3 linked regions of the Coturnix japonica genome follow. The protein of the gene in region 1 purifies or fractionates together with the protein of each later gene. This does not show direct contact. Links are inferred from orthologs where the notes say so. Each region holds a gene or a part of one and is shown in the gene's direction. Other genes may lie near its edges.

Evidence for each region.
Region 2: the proteins of PRPF4B (region 1) and PRPF6 purify together in Homo sapiens (affinity purification with mass spectrometry; 3 studies listed by BioGRID and IntAct, with this or other methods). This does not show direct contact. The link is inferred for Coturnix japonica from reciprocal best matches to the Homo sapiens genes PRP4K and PRPF6.
Region 3: the proteins of PRPF4B (region 1) and EFTUD2 purify together in Homo sapiens (affinity purification with mass spectrometry; 3 studies listed by BioGRID and IntAct, with this or other methods). This does not show direct contact. The link is inferred for Coturnix japonica from reciprocal best matches to the Homo sapiens genes PRP4K and EFTUD2.

The regions. Positions count from the first base shown.
Region 1 is NC_029517.1:63,507,712-63,512,921, forward strand, and holds part of PRPF4B (serine/threonine-protein kinase PRP4 homolog), read left to right. Parts: intron 1-454; coding exon 455-1,648; intron 1,649-4,620; coding exon 4,621-4,794; intron 4,795-5,073; coding exon 5,074-5,210. UniProt on the Homo sapiens protein: Serine/threonine kinase involved in spliceosomal assembly as well as mitosis and signaling regulation. Connects chromatin mediated regulation of transcription and pre-mRNA splicing.
Region 2 is NC_029535.1:8,470,518-8,475,727, reverse strand, and holds part of PRPF6 (pre-mRNA-processing factor 6), read left to right. Parts: coding exon 1-23; intron 24-714; coding exon 715-891; intron 892-1,752; coding exon 1,753-1,886; intron 1,887-2,334; coding exon 2,335-2,426; intron 2,427-4,342; coding exon 4,343-4,457; intron 4,458-5,210. UniProt on the Homo sapiens protein: Involved in pre-mRNA splicing as component of the U4/U6-U5 tri-snRNP complex, one of the building blocks of the spliceosome.
Region 3 is NC_029542.1:762,045-766,909, reverse strand, and holds the end of EFTUD2 (116 kDa U5 small nuclear ribonucleoprotein component), read left to right. Parts: intron 1-34; coding exon 35-121; intron 122-388; coding exon 389-515; intron 516-1,107; coding exon 1,108-1,195; intron 1,196-1,388; coding exon 1,389-1,507; intron 1,508-1,969; coding exon 1,970-2,064; intron 2,065-2,309; coding exon 2,310-2,463; intron 2,464-3,017; coding exon 3,018-3,125; intron 3,126-3,214; coding exon 3,215-3,310; 3' UTR 3,311-3,770; downstream 3,771-4,865. UniProt on the Homo sapiens protein: Required for pre-mRNA splicing as component of the spliceosome, including pre-catalytic, catalytic and post-catalytic spliceosomal complexes. Component of the U5 snRNP and the U4/U6-U5 tri-snRNP complex, a building block of the spliceosome.

The DNA.
Region 1 (5,210 bases):
GTTTTGATCTCTGGGGGACAACTGCTCTCTATCTTTTGAAAGTACTTGTAGAGGACATGGCTTGGGTTTGGCATAGGAATTGAGCAGTAAATAAGACAGATAGCGGACTAACGGGAGGTATAAGTGCGCAATACTGTTGTATGCTATTACCAAATACTGGCAGTGCTGAACCATAACCTGAAGCATTGGTTTCACCTGCGTGATTTGTTTTGTTGATGTATTTGCTCCATCTTCATAAGCTAGTAGTTCTTTTTTGCAGTCATAGCTGTCTGTCTGTGCCAAACTACACCCACTCTTACAACTTCATTACGTTGCTTGTGCATTTCTAATTCTCCAAAAGCAGATAATTAAATACCAGTTAGCTTCTATCACAAAAGAGGCCATCAAACTAACCTGAATTTAAGGGCTGCTGTGAATTGCTGATACTGATGGGTAGTTTTTATCTCTTTTGCAGGGCTGAGGATGCTAACGCATCTGAGAAGAGTACAAATGAAGAGAATGGGGAAGTGTCAGAAGCAGATCAACCTCAGAACAAGCACAGCCGGCACAAAAAAAAGAAACACAAACACCGAAGTAAACACAAGAAACATAAACATTCTTCAGAGGAAGATAAGGACAAAAAACATAAACACAGACACAAACATAAGAAACATAAACGGAAAGAGGTAGCCGATACCTCCGACAAGGAAGATGGACCAGCAAAAAGAACTAAAATTGATTTTTTAGCTCCTCTGGAAGATTTGGAGAAACAAAGGGCTTTATTGAAAGCTGAACTTGAAAATGAGTTAATGGAAGGCAAAGTCCAGTCCGGTATGGGATTAATATTACAAGGTTATGAGTCGGGATCTGAAGAAGAGGGGGAAATTAATGAAAAGGCGCGAAATGGAACCAGACCCGCGGCTAAGTCAAACACTAAGGGGAAATTAGAACCTGTGGAAAATAAAGCTAGTTCCAAAAAAGGAAATAAGAGTGAATCAAAAGAAAGGACTAGGCACAGATCTGACAAAAAGAAAAGCAAGGTAGCAGTTGATGGAATCAAAGAGAAAACAACTAGAAGCAAGTCAAAAGAGAGGAGAAAATCCAAAAGCCCCTGTAAAAGAAGTAAGTCTCAAGATCAGACGAGGAAATCAAGATCTCCGATGCTTAAAAGAAGATCTCAGGAGAAAAATAGGAAATCTAAATCTCCCCCAGAAGACAGAAATAAGGCTGACGATAAGAGTAAATCAAGGGATCGCAGGAAGTCTCCAGTTGTAAATGAAAGCAAAAGTCGAGATCGCGGCAGAAAATCCAAATCTCCAGCAGAACTCAGAAGCAAATCCAAAGATAGACGATCGCGGTCCAAAGATAGAAAATCTAGGCGATCAGAGACTGACAAAGATAAAAAGCCAATTAAATCTCCTTCTAAAGATGCTTCTTCAGGGAAAGAAAACAGGTCCCCCAGAAGACCTGGCCGAAGCCCAAAAGGAAGAAGCTTGTCTCCTAAGCCACGTGAAAAGTCAAGAAGAAGCAGATCCCCTCTCTTTAATGATCGTAGATCTAAACAGAGTAAATCCCCTTCTCGGACCCGATCTCCAGCTAGGAGGCTGAGGAGTAGATCCGCAGAAAGGAAAAGAAGAGAATCGGAAAGGAGGCGTCTTTCATCTCCCAGGTAACTTAAAAGTGTCATGAGCCATTGCAAGGATGTGCTATGGGATGAACCATCTTCTAGCCTGGTGTTTCTCTTTCATTCTGAGAAGAGCTATGTATTGTATGATGAGTTTCTGTTACACATAGTCATCATTCAAAAATACTAACCCCAGCTGTCAGACACACAAAGTCAGCTTTGCTGTTGGTTGTTCTCACCAGTATTGGGAACAACTTCTGTAGCTCAGGTTCTGCTTTTTGTTGTTGCGTTGAATTCGGATTTCAGCTTCTGTTTTGGTTCCAAAGTTAGTAGTAACGTTGTTTTCAGGAATTCCTGAGAAGGGAGAACCTTATTCCCTCTCCTCTTAAACGTCAGTGTTGGCATCTCCCCGCACACCTACTGAAAAATGAAAGTGTGAATGGTGTAAATTAGACTTTAAGATATGCTTCTTAGTTATTTTTTGTCTCTTTGATTTGCTGGAGTTATGGTAGCGTTACTGGTCTGTTTTGATAGCGAGCCCAAACTTGTATATCATTGCCATATTTTGTATATGCATAAATGAGGGAGGAAGGGTTCAGTCTTCTTAACGTACTTTTGTCATTTGTTTTAAAAGGCAGTTTAGGCTTTGAAAGCAGTGACTTTGAGATTTAATATGAGCCATCAGACAGCAGCGTCTTTGAATCTGGTAATGCCTGGATTGCAAGCTCCTGTTCAGGGAACAGTACAGTTGTATACACTTCTGGATGTTAACCCATTAAACCTGAAGTGTCCAAACTTTAGGCTTCCCTGGGCTGCATTACGTGATAAGGTATTGTCTTGGATATAAAATATATGGTATTATTAATGTATCAGAATGGTTTGGGGGCAGTGGCTGCAATTCTTAGTGAGCTCTCGAGGAGTTCACCAGAGATTTTTATTGAAATTTTACTCCTCCTGTACTTCTTCCTTGAAAACAGTTGCTCACAAATGTACATGCTTGCCAAAGTTGATGCCGTGAATAAGGCATGATTGTGAAGTGAGGGATATCAGGCTGGATATTAGAAAGTATTACTTCTCAGAGAGGGTGGTCAGGCACTGGAATGGACTGCACAGGGAGGTGGTGGAGTCACCGACCCTGGGGGTGTTCAAGGAGAGACTGGGTGTTGTGCTGAGGGACATGATTTACGGGGAGCTATTGGTAATAGGTGAATGGTTGGACTGGATGATCTTTTTAGGTCTTTTCCAACCTTGGTGATTCTATGATTCTATGATATTTCTCTCGGGTAGTAGAGGGCTTTTTAAAGGAAGATTTGTTGAGATGACAGACTTTTTTCAATTCCACCAGTTTATCTGTAAAGCATTCCTTGATATGCACTGAATTTGGCCGTACATTTTTGCATATAATGTCTTATTAAATTGAAAAGTCTGAAAACTGATGCAATTTCCTTACTAATTAAGCATAGTGCTATTTGCCAAGATGCTTGAGCACATGTAACGTGTAATACCTGAGGGTTTCACTTCCATTGAGTGTGTTTGATGAGCAGGAGAGGTGGAATCAGCACTACGGTGCGCTTTCCCCTGGCTCCAGCCCAGGCAGTTCCAATCACACACCACTATGTGGTTGTTGCAGCAATGGGTGAGTGCCCAGGGCCGGACCGAGCTACCCATATACTGTTGACAAGCAGCACTGCAGGTACTTTGGAAAATGGCCCTTGTGGTGTTAACCAGATGAAGCAAGTATTGCAAATGGCACCAATTTATTCAACTAGTTCCTGGTGAATGAGCACTCCACTGTGTGTCTTTGACGTATTTCTTGCCTGTCTTAGTTTCACTTTTCATTTCTAGTGAAATTGCATTTCAGTGCAGGCTGTTACATTGCAGCCAGTTTGAATTAGTTGTCTAAACACTACTGCAAGTGAGGCACATGTCTAGAATTTTGCTACGAAGTTGATAGAAGAGTAACTTCAGTTAATAATAAATAAATAAATAAAACTTCAGTTTTATTTGCTACACTGTTGAGTGGAGGACTGCTGAGAAATATTTTCTACTGGAATCCAAGAAGGCCTTCTTGAACCAGTGTTCCCACATTGGAGTTTTAACTGCCTATAACTATCCGGGCTGCCAGGTAACTTCAGGAGCTCCAGTGAGCGTTTTCAACCACAGGTTGAAGGACACGGGGAAATGGTTTTAAGTTGAAAGAGGGAAGATTTAGGTTGGATGTTAGGGGGAAGTTCTTCACTAGGAGAGTGGTTAGGCCCTGGAACAGGCTGCCCAGGGAGGTTGTGGATGCCCCGTCCTTGGAGGTGTTCAAGACCAGGTTGGACGGGGCCCTGGGCAACCTGATCTAGTAAATGTGTATGTTTGGTGGCCCTGCCAGGCAGGGGGGTTGGAAATACATGATCCTTGAGGTCCCTTCCAACCCGGGTCATTCTGTGATTCTGTGATTCCCAGGAATTTGATTTTTCATCTTTGCTTGCAGTGTCCCACTTGTGTAAGATACTCCTTAGTTCTCTGACTTCAGTATGGTACTGTGCAACGTTACTTAGGACTTCTTAATCACCTTCCACTTCCTATCACATGCATGCAATCCCTGAACAGATTGGGGTTCTTTTCGCACCTGTTCTGATCGGCATTTTAATGTCGGTTCATTAAGGATTTTTTTTCCCTTAAAAAATTATGCATCTGTATAGACAAGAGTGACAATGGAATCAAGTGTTGGTTGTTGTTTTAATTTGAGAAGTGTTAATTGAGAATGGTTGTTTTTAGCTGCAGTACTACAGTATGTGGGATGCTGAAGCATTCACTTCTATTGGCCAGATTGGAAAACACATGGAAGTTGTCATCATGGAATAGTTTTGCCCTAAATTTAACCTCCGTGTTGCTGAGAAAAAATCAAGAATTTGGTTTTAGGTTTTATTCATTGAATATTGCTTGTGATGAACACGATTTTAGGAGGAATTAGAGGTTTTGTTCTCAGCTCGCTCCTTATTTTACTGTGGTTCTTTCTTCATTTTAAGAACGCGAACCAGAGATGATATTTTGTCTAGACGGGAAAGATCAAAAGATATCAGCCCACCCAGCAGATGGTCTCCATCCCGGAGAAGGTCTCGGTCACCCATTAGGAGGAGGTCGCGGTCACCCCTTCGACGTAGCCGATCTCCACGAAGGAGGAGTAGGTCCCCGCGAAGGAGGTAAAGACAACACGTGGGTTTTGTTGTTCATTTTATAGGATACAAAGAGTCACATGGTACCCTATGTGTAAAAATATAATGCATTTCTCAGTCCCTACTTATATATAAGTTGGCATAGTTGGATTAATTTTGTCCTCCATTAATTCATTTGTTGTATTCCTTGGAGTTGCTGTGTATCTTTGTTCTACAAACAGATTTTCCTCCTTTTCTTTTAAAAAAACAAGAAAATAAAAAGCAAAACAAACAAACAAACAAACAAATCCCTCTTCCTCTTACCAGGGATAGAGGCCGAAGAAGTAGATCTCGCCTTCGAAGGAGGTCCAGGTCACGTGGTGGTCACAGACGTAGGAGTAGGAGCAAAGTTAAAGAAGACAAATTTAAAGGTAGTCTTTCTGAGGGCATGAAAGTGGAACAAG
Region 2 (5,210 bases), on another chromosome or scaffold:
GCAGCAGTGCCCCCACTGCAAGGGTAGGGATGTGTGAAGGGTGGAGAGGCCAAGGCTTCTCATAGCAATGGGGGAGCTGAGTCGTAAGCAGGAGCTCCTTCAGTTCTGTGGCCTCAAGTGATTGACCAGATGGCTCCCTGCCATTGCCTTTTGCAGGCACCGTAGCACTTCTCCAGCAAATTGCAACACTCGGTTGCAGCATGATGGGAACAGAGGCTGGGATCAAGTGAAGGGTTTCACATTTTTTCACACAAATGGCAAAAGTCAGGAAATTCCCAGTTTACAGCTGTTTGTATAATGTTCATGTTGCATAAAAGCGTGTCTTGGAGAAGAGAGAGTGAAAATATTTTTTGCAGAAGACTCAATTATGCTGTGCTAAAGACGGTGCTCATCGGATTTATTTAAAGTTACAGTCTTGTGTTTATCTCTACGGTTACTTCTGCTGTGATAAATGTTGTCAATATTTAGCTGTGCATACAGAATCGTTTCGATTTGACCAAGTAAGAGGAAAAAACCTGGTTTGCTGTGTGGAGATTTGGACCTTTTAGATTGTCCTCTTCTCCTGTCAGTCATGGAGCCTTCTGCTCCAAACTAAGGCTCATGAATAACTTCCCAATGTATGCACAGACATGGGAACCCACTGCATTGGCAGAGTTCTTGTTTTTGTTGCTTTTGTTTCTTCCCCAGTGATAAACGGCTCCGTCTCTTTGTCAGGTCTTCATGAAGTCTGTGAAGTTGGAATGGGTGCTGGGAAACATTGCTGCGGCACAGGAGCTTTGTGAGGAAGCCCTGAAACACTATGAGGACTTTCCCAAACTGTGGATGATGAAAGGACAAATCGAGGAACAAAAGGAGCTGGTAGAGAAAGCAAGGGAGGCTTACAATCAAGGGGTAAGATGCATGTTATTGTAAGCTTGCTTTGTGCTTGTGATATGGACAGATGTCTGTCTTCAAATCAGGATGGAGAGGGCTCTGTCCCATATTAACAGTGGAGGTGATTTCTCTCCCTGTCATTGGTTAAAACAGTAAGAGAAAATTATTAGGGTGTTGAAATAAGCAGTGAGAATTTATCTCTTAGCTGGTGTGTGTGTGCAGAATTCGCTTTCTTGCTTGAGAGAGTTTGCTGTATGCTTGACTACTCACTAGCAGGAATGAAGTCATTACACAATAATTCTCTAAGACCTGCAACGACTAAACAGCAGAACTTCTTAACAGAAGACCCTGCTAATAAGGTTAGGTAAACACTGTAAAAGGAGATTGTCTGCTGAGTACTCATGTGTCTTCTAAATGGTAATTGGCGTCCTGTAGGAATGCTCCTGAAACTCATCTGCCCTGCAAGTAATAGGGAAGCAGGTTTCTGCCGGTGTCTGTATCCTAATGACTTTGTGAGCTTCAAGGGCAATGCGTTTCCTGCGTACTCTGCAGGTGTGATTTTGTTATTTATTAGAGCTCTCCATCTCTAGATGGAGCACAGGTCATAGATGTACTGTTAAGGGAGGTGTATTCTTTCTTTTTGCTTGGCATTGAGGAAGTTTAGTCATAGTGGTGTTCTTGGTGTTTTGGTTATAGGAGAAACTAGATTTCTACTGTTTTAGTGCTATATGATTAACTAGGAGAAATCTGAGAGATGTGGTCACTTATCTCACTTCTGAACTCCTCAGAAAGATTCAAGGAAGGGATTCCTTTTCTATGGGGGTTATAATGTTTTCAGATCTGCATAGTAACCGTACCTTTTGTTATCATATTAAACAGCTGAAAAAGTGTCCCCATTCCATCCCTCTGTGGCTTTTGCTGTCCAGACTGGAAGAGAAGGTGGGACAGTTGACCAGAGCAAGGGCTATCTTGGAAAAGTCTCGCCTAAAGAATCCAAAGAATGCGGATCTCTGGTGAGTTGTGTAGACGTGAACTTAGTTTGAGCTGCAAGATCGATGCATGCATGAGGTATCTCACACCTCAGTTATTTGATCACAGAACTTATGAGCACACCTATCCTAGCACTTCTTCTGAAGAAGGGCTCTGGAGATTCTGGCTGCTGTGTGGCTACTCTGAGGAGCTGGGGACCTGTTGTTTCTTTACAGATAGTTGCAGTGTAGAGAACATGAAAATCAAGGGGTCTTTTGTTTCTATCATAGGTTAAAAATGATATGAGAAATGGACTAGGCCATTGCAAAATGTGTTTTTTAATGGGGAGGAATGGGAAGAAGTCAGTAAGGTGCATGTGTTCATATGGGCATGTTTGTAATTTCCAGTGACTTTCATGTGACTCAGAGTTGATTTGTGTTACAGAGTGAATGTGTTACAATAAATATCATCACTGGGTTTCTTTATTACCAGGTTAGAGTCTGTGCGACTGGAGTACAGAGCTGGGCTGAAGAACATTGCAAATACTCTGATGGCCAAGGCCTTGCAAGAATGCCCTAATTCAGGTGAGCTGGGTGTCATTTTGATCTTAAACCTGGTTATGTGTTTGCTCAGTTAGTAAAGGATTATCTTTATCCAAGATGGCCTTTCTGGCCATGTCTCAGAATAATGCATTTTAGAGAAGTGACAGCCATTCTCCTGCAAAGGGAGGGTTGGGGGGGGCTTTGTGAATGATCCTGGTTACTTTGTAGTGCTTCACACTGAAGGGAACATGGGTTGGTGTTGGCATCATCGATTTTGTGGTCCACAGTTTGTCAAGAGGTTTCATGCAAAATAATCATGGACATGGGTGGCTTTTCTCTGAGGCTGGTAGAAGTCTGTGCCAAGGTTTAAAACTGAAGAAAGACTCTCAAGCTTTTGTAATTAGGGAGTTTGGTGGAAAAAGGATGTTTTTTCCCCTGTCTCATTGGGGTATAATTGACCATAGGAGACTTCCTGTTGTTGGTTTGCCCACACTGATTGCACTACTAATGGGTTTTGATTATTTTAGCTCATCATATAAGCTCTATTTGCCTTTCCTTAACGAAGTTGGTTGGTTCTAACCAGCAGTGGAAACATTTGCCTCTTGGGATGGGAGGAGAAAATGGAAGTTTCCTTTCTTTTTTTTCCTTTTTGACAGAATTGTGGGAAGGCTTTAATTCTTTGAACGTGTTGACATCTTTGGAGAGATGTCACTTCAGTAGAAAGTGTGGTAACCTACCACAGGGCAAGTCTTTTTAGTTTGCCTTCAGGCTGGTTTTGAAAGGTATTTAGTTGATGACTGCTTAAGTCACCCCAGTGAAGTAATGGGAGTTAAGTGACTTTTATGGCTTGATCAACTCACTGCAAGCTGCTTGCTTTGTGAGTGGGCCAACAAAGTAATACCAGCTTTATTTTATGAAGGACCTAACACTTGTTGTGTTTGCCACCTCAGGCTCTTCTGCAGATTCTGCCTGTTGCTATAGAAATAGGCAGTAAGATCTCAGATTCTGTTTAAATAAAATAACTCCCAACTCTTAAAAGTTTACAAACCAGGAAGAAAAACCTGCAGGATTGAGTTTGTTAGACACCTACAATTGTGTAAACCTGACCCGCGTCCATCAGTTGCTGATCTGATTACCATTGCTTGTGGCTGACATAGATGGCACAAAGGATAAAATCATGAACTGAAATACATCAGTGTTTGTGTCCTCAGCAGGACTGAAAATAGAGGTCTGTGAGAATGGTTTGACTCTATGTAAAGAGCAAATCTAGAGTTCTGCTGCAGTCTGTCACTGCTGTCATCTGAGTGTGTTAATTCCCATGTGCAGTTTATGGGAAGTGAGAGTGCTTTGATAGAGTCCTGGCAGACCCAAGCTTTCAGGCTTTGCCTTGAAGTGATCAACAGGTATGGTTGACTGGCGTTAGAAACTGAAGATTTCATGCTCCTCTGAGCATGTTTCCTTTCTTGCTTTTGGCAGTGAAAGGAACTAGGGATTAAACCCAGCTTTCCTGGCCCTACCGTGTCCTTCGTCATATGTGTGGAGAGCCAGCATCAATAATACTGTGGTGTTCTTTGGCACCTTTGAAACTGCTCCCAAGTGGTGTACTTTACACCTTGTGGGACTTCACCTGCCACTGTAGCTTTCCATTCAGACCAGCTTGTTGCTGCTTCTGAGTTCCCCTCTGCTGTGTGCGGTGTCTAATTGGAAAGGCTTAAGCTCTGTGCTCGTGCACACTGCTGTTGTGGTACAGAAACATTCAGAACTGAGGGTCCTTTGCTAAATTTCAGAGTATTGAATGAAGCATCCATGATGAAAGAGCGATTTGAGACAAGGTGGAGGTGCAGGGATAACTTCTGGGGTGGGCACAGTAGTGCTGCTCACTTCATAGAGCGCTGGCCTGATGATGGGGAGGATTAATCTCTGATTCACACTAAATCTTTCTACTTCACTTGATTAAGGAATCCTGTGGTCAGAGGCAATTTTCCTTGAAGCGCGACCACAACGGAAGACCAAGAGTGTGGATGCCCTGAAGAAGTGTGAGCACGACCCACACGTTCTGTTGGCTGTGGCCAAGTAAGTTCCCGTCCTGATGTAGTAAAGACACTCATTTTGGTGTGTGTAGCTGCATCCCTGATGAGACATTGCACTTGAGCACGACCACGTGATGCTGGCTGCAGCAGCTCTAATGAGCCTCAGAGCAAGTAGCAGCTCTCAAGCTGTCTCCTAGTAACTGCAAATCTGCTGCTCTACCTTGATTCAGAACAAGGGATGTCAGCCTGCCCTCAGGCTCTCCTGGTGGGTTTGGGAGTGCAGCATGGACAGTAATATGTTCACATTGAGTCCTTTTCTACTGCTGGGTTTGAAAACCATCTTGGTGCCCCTCAGATGGAATTTTAGCATGCTTTCAGATAGGCTTACTTTGGTTTTACAGGATACGTTTTAAGTATTTTTGAAAACATGGACCATTTCTGCTGGTTGATGTTTGCATTTTAAGTGTCTGATGCTGTACTCTTCATCTTTTCTCTCTATTCATCTCTTCATCTATTTCTCTCTATTGTCAGATACTTCTAATCTTAAGCTACTTTGTGCTGTTTGTTTTCTCCATGCACAAATTTCTGCTATGTCAGTTTTCTTTCAGCGGTGACCCTTCCTGGAATGCAGACTACAAGTCACACTCTAGTTTGCTTCACTAGAACAGGAAGAGAGTCTACTAGGAATTGTCTGCTTCTCTAGATCAAGTTGTGAGGTTTCCAGTGATGAGGAACTATTATTAGAATTGACTCACACCATATCCTTTCTGATCTGATTGCAGACCGCTCCACAGCA
Region 3 (4,865 bases), on another chromosome or scaffold:
TCTGTGGACTAATTGCAACTGTCTCTCTTCTCAGGAACAAGATCACGATGATTGCTGAACCTCTGGAGAAGGGACTTGCGGAGGACATTGAAAATGAAGTGGTCCAAATAACGTGGAACAGGTATGGACAGTCTGGGGGGAGCAAGGATCTTTCTGGAGGGAAATAACTGGGGAAGTAGGGAGCACTGGGATCCACAAGGATCAGTCAGCAGCTCCCAGGCAGGGATCCTGGGTGCACCAGTGAGTCCAGGAGCATCCTGGCCCAGCAAACAGTTTGCTTCGTGTAAAAAGCTGAGGCTGTTTTTATGTGGAGCAGGTTTATAAATACTTACTTTCTGAGTGCAGATCAGACTCTGCTTTCCTAAACTTCCTTCTGTTCTTCCATCAGAAAGAAGCTGGGTGAATTCTTCCAGACCAAATACGACTGGGATTTGCTGGCTGCCCGTTCCATCTGGGCCTTCGGGCCGGATGCCACTGGCCCAAACATCCTGGTAGATGATACTCTGCCCTCAGAGGTGAGGAACAGGCACAGGGGTTATATTGGAGTGAAATATATTGTGTGCCCCGGTGGTGCAGTGGTTAAAGACGCCGCCTTGCAACACTGGGGCCCGGGGTTCGAATCCCCCCTGTGGCGCAAGTGGTAGAAGTGCCGCTCTGCTACACAGAGGCTCGAATCCCGGGGGCTGGACTCGATGATCTCTAAGGTCCCTTCCAACCCGCACGAAACTATGAAACTATGAAACTATGAAATGTTTATTCTGTTCTGTCCAGAGGTGGCAGTTCCTTCCAGGACCTGCAGCAAGGTTCTAATGCTGTAGGAGTGCTTGTTGGTTTGTCATGTCTCAGATACATTGAGCTTCTTCCTCTATGCTCATATCAAAGCTGGTGAACTGTCAGTCCGCAGTTTGGGCCAGCACCCTCAGAACTGAACGGCCTGTCTTTAAGGATTACCAAAATAGGCACTCTTCACTTCTGACTATAGATGTCAAACTCTTAAAGATGATGATTCAGAGCTGTGAGGAGGGTGCAGAAGAACATGGCTGCTCATCTAATAAACAACTGTTAAACACTGGGGTCTATCTGATCCTGCCTTGTCTCTGTCCATAGGTGGACAAGGCGCTGCTGGGCTCCGTGAAGGACAGCATTGTGCAGGGATTTCAGTGGGGGACCAGGGAAGGGCCTCTCTGTGATGAATGTAAGTAGAACCTGTGTAGGAATGGGGCTGATGAATGAATTCTACCATCTTTAAGTGGATGGCTGAACTTTCTCTGATGGCTCTATCTCTTTTGCGACCCCTGTGCTCAGAGTCTTTGGGGATGCATGGCTGGTGCTGCTATGGCAAAGGGCAGCTGCTAAGATCACTTGCTGTTGTTTCTTCCTTTCCTCAGTGATCCGCAATGTGAAGTTTAAGATCCTGGACGCAGTGATTGCTCAGGAGCCTTTGCACCGAGGTGGAGGTCAGATCATCCCGACGGCACGGAGGGTTGTGTACTCAGCTTTCCTGATGGTGAGCACTGTGTGTGCATGGCAAAAACTGAGCCTCGTGCAGTGATGGCTGAGAGGCTCCAGTGAGCACAGGTTGTACGTGTGCTGCAGCATCTGCCACAAGGATGGTGGTTTAAACTGCCTTGTTTGCAGTGCCCTTTCAGGCTGGCACACAGGCTTAACAAGTGGTCACGTTCCAGCCTGGCTGGAAGCCTGCCTGCATCTGCTGCCTCCTGTTGTGCAAGTGTTAGACTTGCTGGGGAAGGTGGGAATGTGAAGAGGGAACACATCAACGTGGGCAGGAGGAGGAAAGCACAGAGCTCCTGTTTGTTGGGGTTCATTCAGGCACTGGAGGGGCAGCAGGAACCCTCTCATCCCCACTTGGGTGCTGTGTTTGAGCTGTTTGGCAGCTTCTGATCCTGTGTGTGCTGCAGCACATTGATGCTGCTGTAGGCTCATCTGCTGTTTGCCTTTGTGCCCCCAGGCCACCCCTCGTCTGATGGAGCCCTACTACTTTGTGGAGGTGCAGGCCCCAGCTGACTGCGTGTCCGCCGTGTACACTGTGCTGGCACGGCGCAGGTGAGCTGCCATCAGTGCAAAGCAGCAGCTGCTTGCCTGGGTGGTAGAGACCTCTACAGTCCCTTGGAAGGGGGGGCTGATGTGGAAATGAGGGGAGAGGGCAAAATCTGTCTGCTGTGCTGTGTGGGGAGGGGATGTCCAACACCACATGCAGTGCTTTGCTTTGTGCCTGGGGCTGTTGGAGTGTTGGAAAGGAGCAATAAAATGGGACATGTAGGAAAAGGAATGTTTTGACTTTCTGACAGAGGCCACGTGACACAGGACGCTCCGATCCCAGGCTCCCCTCTGTACACCATCAAAGCCTTCATCCCCGCCATCGATTCCTTCGGCTTCGAGACAGACCTGAGGACCCACACACAGGGACAGGCGTTCTCACTGTCTGTCTTCCACCACTGGCAGGTGAGTCCTACTGGGAAGGAGGGGATGGCAGATCAGGCTGTGCTCAGTGCTGCAGCTTACACAGGGCAGCCCAAACATCTCAGAGATCTCCAGTGCGGGCATTTGGAGCTGGTGGGGGCTTTGTGCACCAAGTGTCTGCTGCCAGAAGCCTGAGGCTTTGCTCCTTGTCACCCAGCATTTCCCCTTAGCAGAAGTGCTGAATGCTGCTTGCTGAGCTCAAGGGTCCCTCAGTGCCTGAGTGGAAGGTGTGCTCTGCTGGGTGCTGTTTGGTGCACTGAGCTCTGCACCTCGGGGGGCTCAAGGCTTAGACTTGCTGTTCTGCTGTGATTGCCACCCTTCAGCTTTGGCTCTCAGGGAAAAGCTTTGGAGCCACACTCTGAGTGACTTCCCACAGAATTGGTGGCAATGTGACTCTTTCTCCCTACCTGAGAACAGATGCCACACTGGGGCTTTGTCACACCTGGGGGTGTCCGTGGGGCCCGTGCATGTTTCCCTTTGAAGCTCAGGCTCTCCTGGAGCTCCCAGTGTTGTTCTCAGCCGTGGTCTTGTTGCAGATTGTGCCTGGTGACCCTTTGGACAAAAGCATCGTCATCCGCCCCCTGGAGCCTCAGCCGGCCCCACATCTGGCCAGGGAGTTCATGATTAAGACCCGACGCAGGAAGGTACGTCTGGGATCCACGGGAGCTCTGCCAGGAGGGCTGTGTGGGTTGTGGCATGCAGTGGAATGACACAGATTTGGGTTACTCCGCAGGGCCTGAGCGAGGACGTGAGCATCAGCAAGTTCTTCGATGACCCCATGTTGCTGGAGCTGGCCAAGCAAGACGTCGTTCTCAACTACCCCATGTGAACACATCCCTGCTGAGCCCAGGGAGCCCAGTGGGCCCAGCGCTTCCCACCTCTCAGGGCTCCTCAGGTTGCTCTTGTATGGCTGGAGAAACCCCTTGGGGTGTTTGTGCACCACATTCTCAGCCCCACACCGATGCTTTATGTGTTATCAGAGCCCTGTGTGCAGTGAGGAGGTTGTTTTCCCTTTAGCTCCTCTCTCTGCAGGCACACAGATGTGGTCTGGGCTGCAACGCATCAACTTGAGTTGAATGTTTGGACTCTTGGGGTGTGAGGTTGCTGGGTCAGCTCCTGCCTTTAGTAATGCTGCCCGTGGGTGCTCTGCCTTCCCTTAGGTGCAGTGCTGGGGATGGGGCTGTTCCTACCAACCTCCCCAGGAAAAGGGGCAAGTCTGGATTTTTACCTTTATTTTTGTACGTGTTTTTGGAATCCTGCTAAACATTGAATGCAAACTTACACCCGGAGCTCAGTCTGATCCCTTTGGCAGAAGGCAGAGGGGGCAGTGCCCCTATTTCCTCCATCCCAGCACTGCTTTATGTCTTTGTCACTATGTCCCAACCAAGACAAGTCATGTAGGACTGTTCCTTTCTCACTTGGCTTTGTCCTGCTGCTGCATTTCCAGGGGGTCCAGAGGGCTCAGCTCTATTACATCAGCTCTATGTCCCTGGAGAATGGAGGGGGGGGGGTGACATCCATCATCCTCCCAACACAGCTCTGCCTTCAGCCCTGTGCTCTGGGCCTGGATTCTGGCTCTGGGGACTGTGCAGAGTCGCCCTATGGGCAGCCCCCCATCATCGCCCCATATCTGCCCACCCCATATCCCTGCACACCCCAATTGGGTGCAGGACGGGGCCGGCAGCGTGGGAAGCAGTCAGTTCTCATACGGGCTGCTCCCAGTGGGAGCCCAGCTGGAAAACATTGACCTGCAGCAGCCGGCAATGCGCACGGAGTGGGAATTTTCCATGGATGCGGTCATTCAATGGGAATGGGGAATATGTGTGGGGTGGGGGGCTGTGGGGTTCCTCCCTGTCTGCCTGCCCGTGGGGTGGTGCAGTGGTAAACTGAGGCATGGCAGTATAGGGGTCTGGGAGCAGGGCTCTGTGCATGGCCTGAGTTCATTGGGGCTCAGCAGTGGGGCAGCAGGACCATGAGGTGCACAGTCATAGCAGTGGGGGCCCCTCTGCAGTGGGACCATCAGCTGGGATGGGGCCCCACGTTGCCCCATTGGTGCACCACTCACAGCCCTACTGGGGTCATGATATGCTGAACAATGGGGTGAGCCCCATTCCCAGTGCTCCTGACCCCAACCTGTCCCCATATCTCTATTTCCAGTGTCCCTTTGCCCATGTTCCTGTTCCCATGTCTCCATTCTGATCCCATTCCCAGTGTCCCTGTCCCTGCCGTGTCCCCATGTCCCTGTCCTTATACTCTTCCCAGTGTCCCTGTCCCCATATCTGTTCCCACTGTCCCTGTGTCCCCATCCCATTCCCATTGTCTGGATGTCCCTGTCCCCATCTCGTTCCCACTCTTCCTATCCCCAACCTGTCTTCACATCCCTG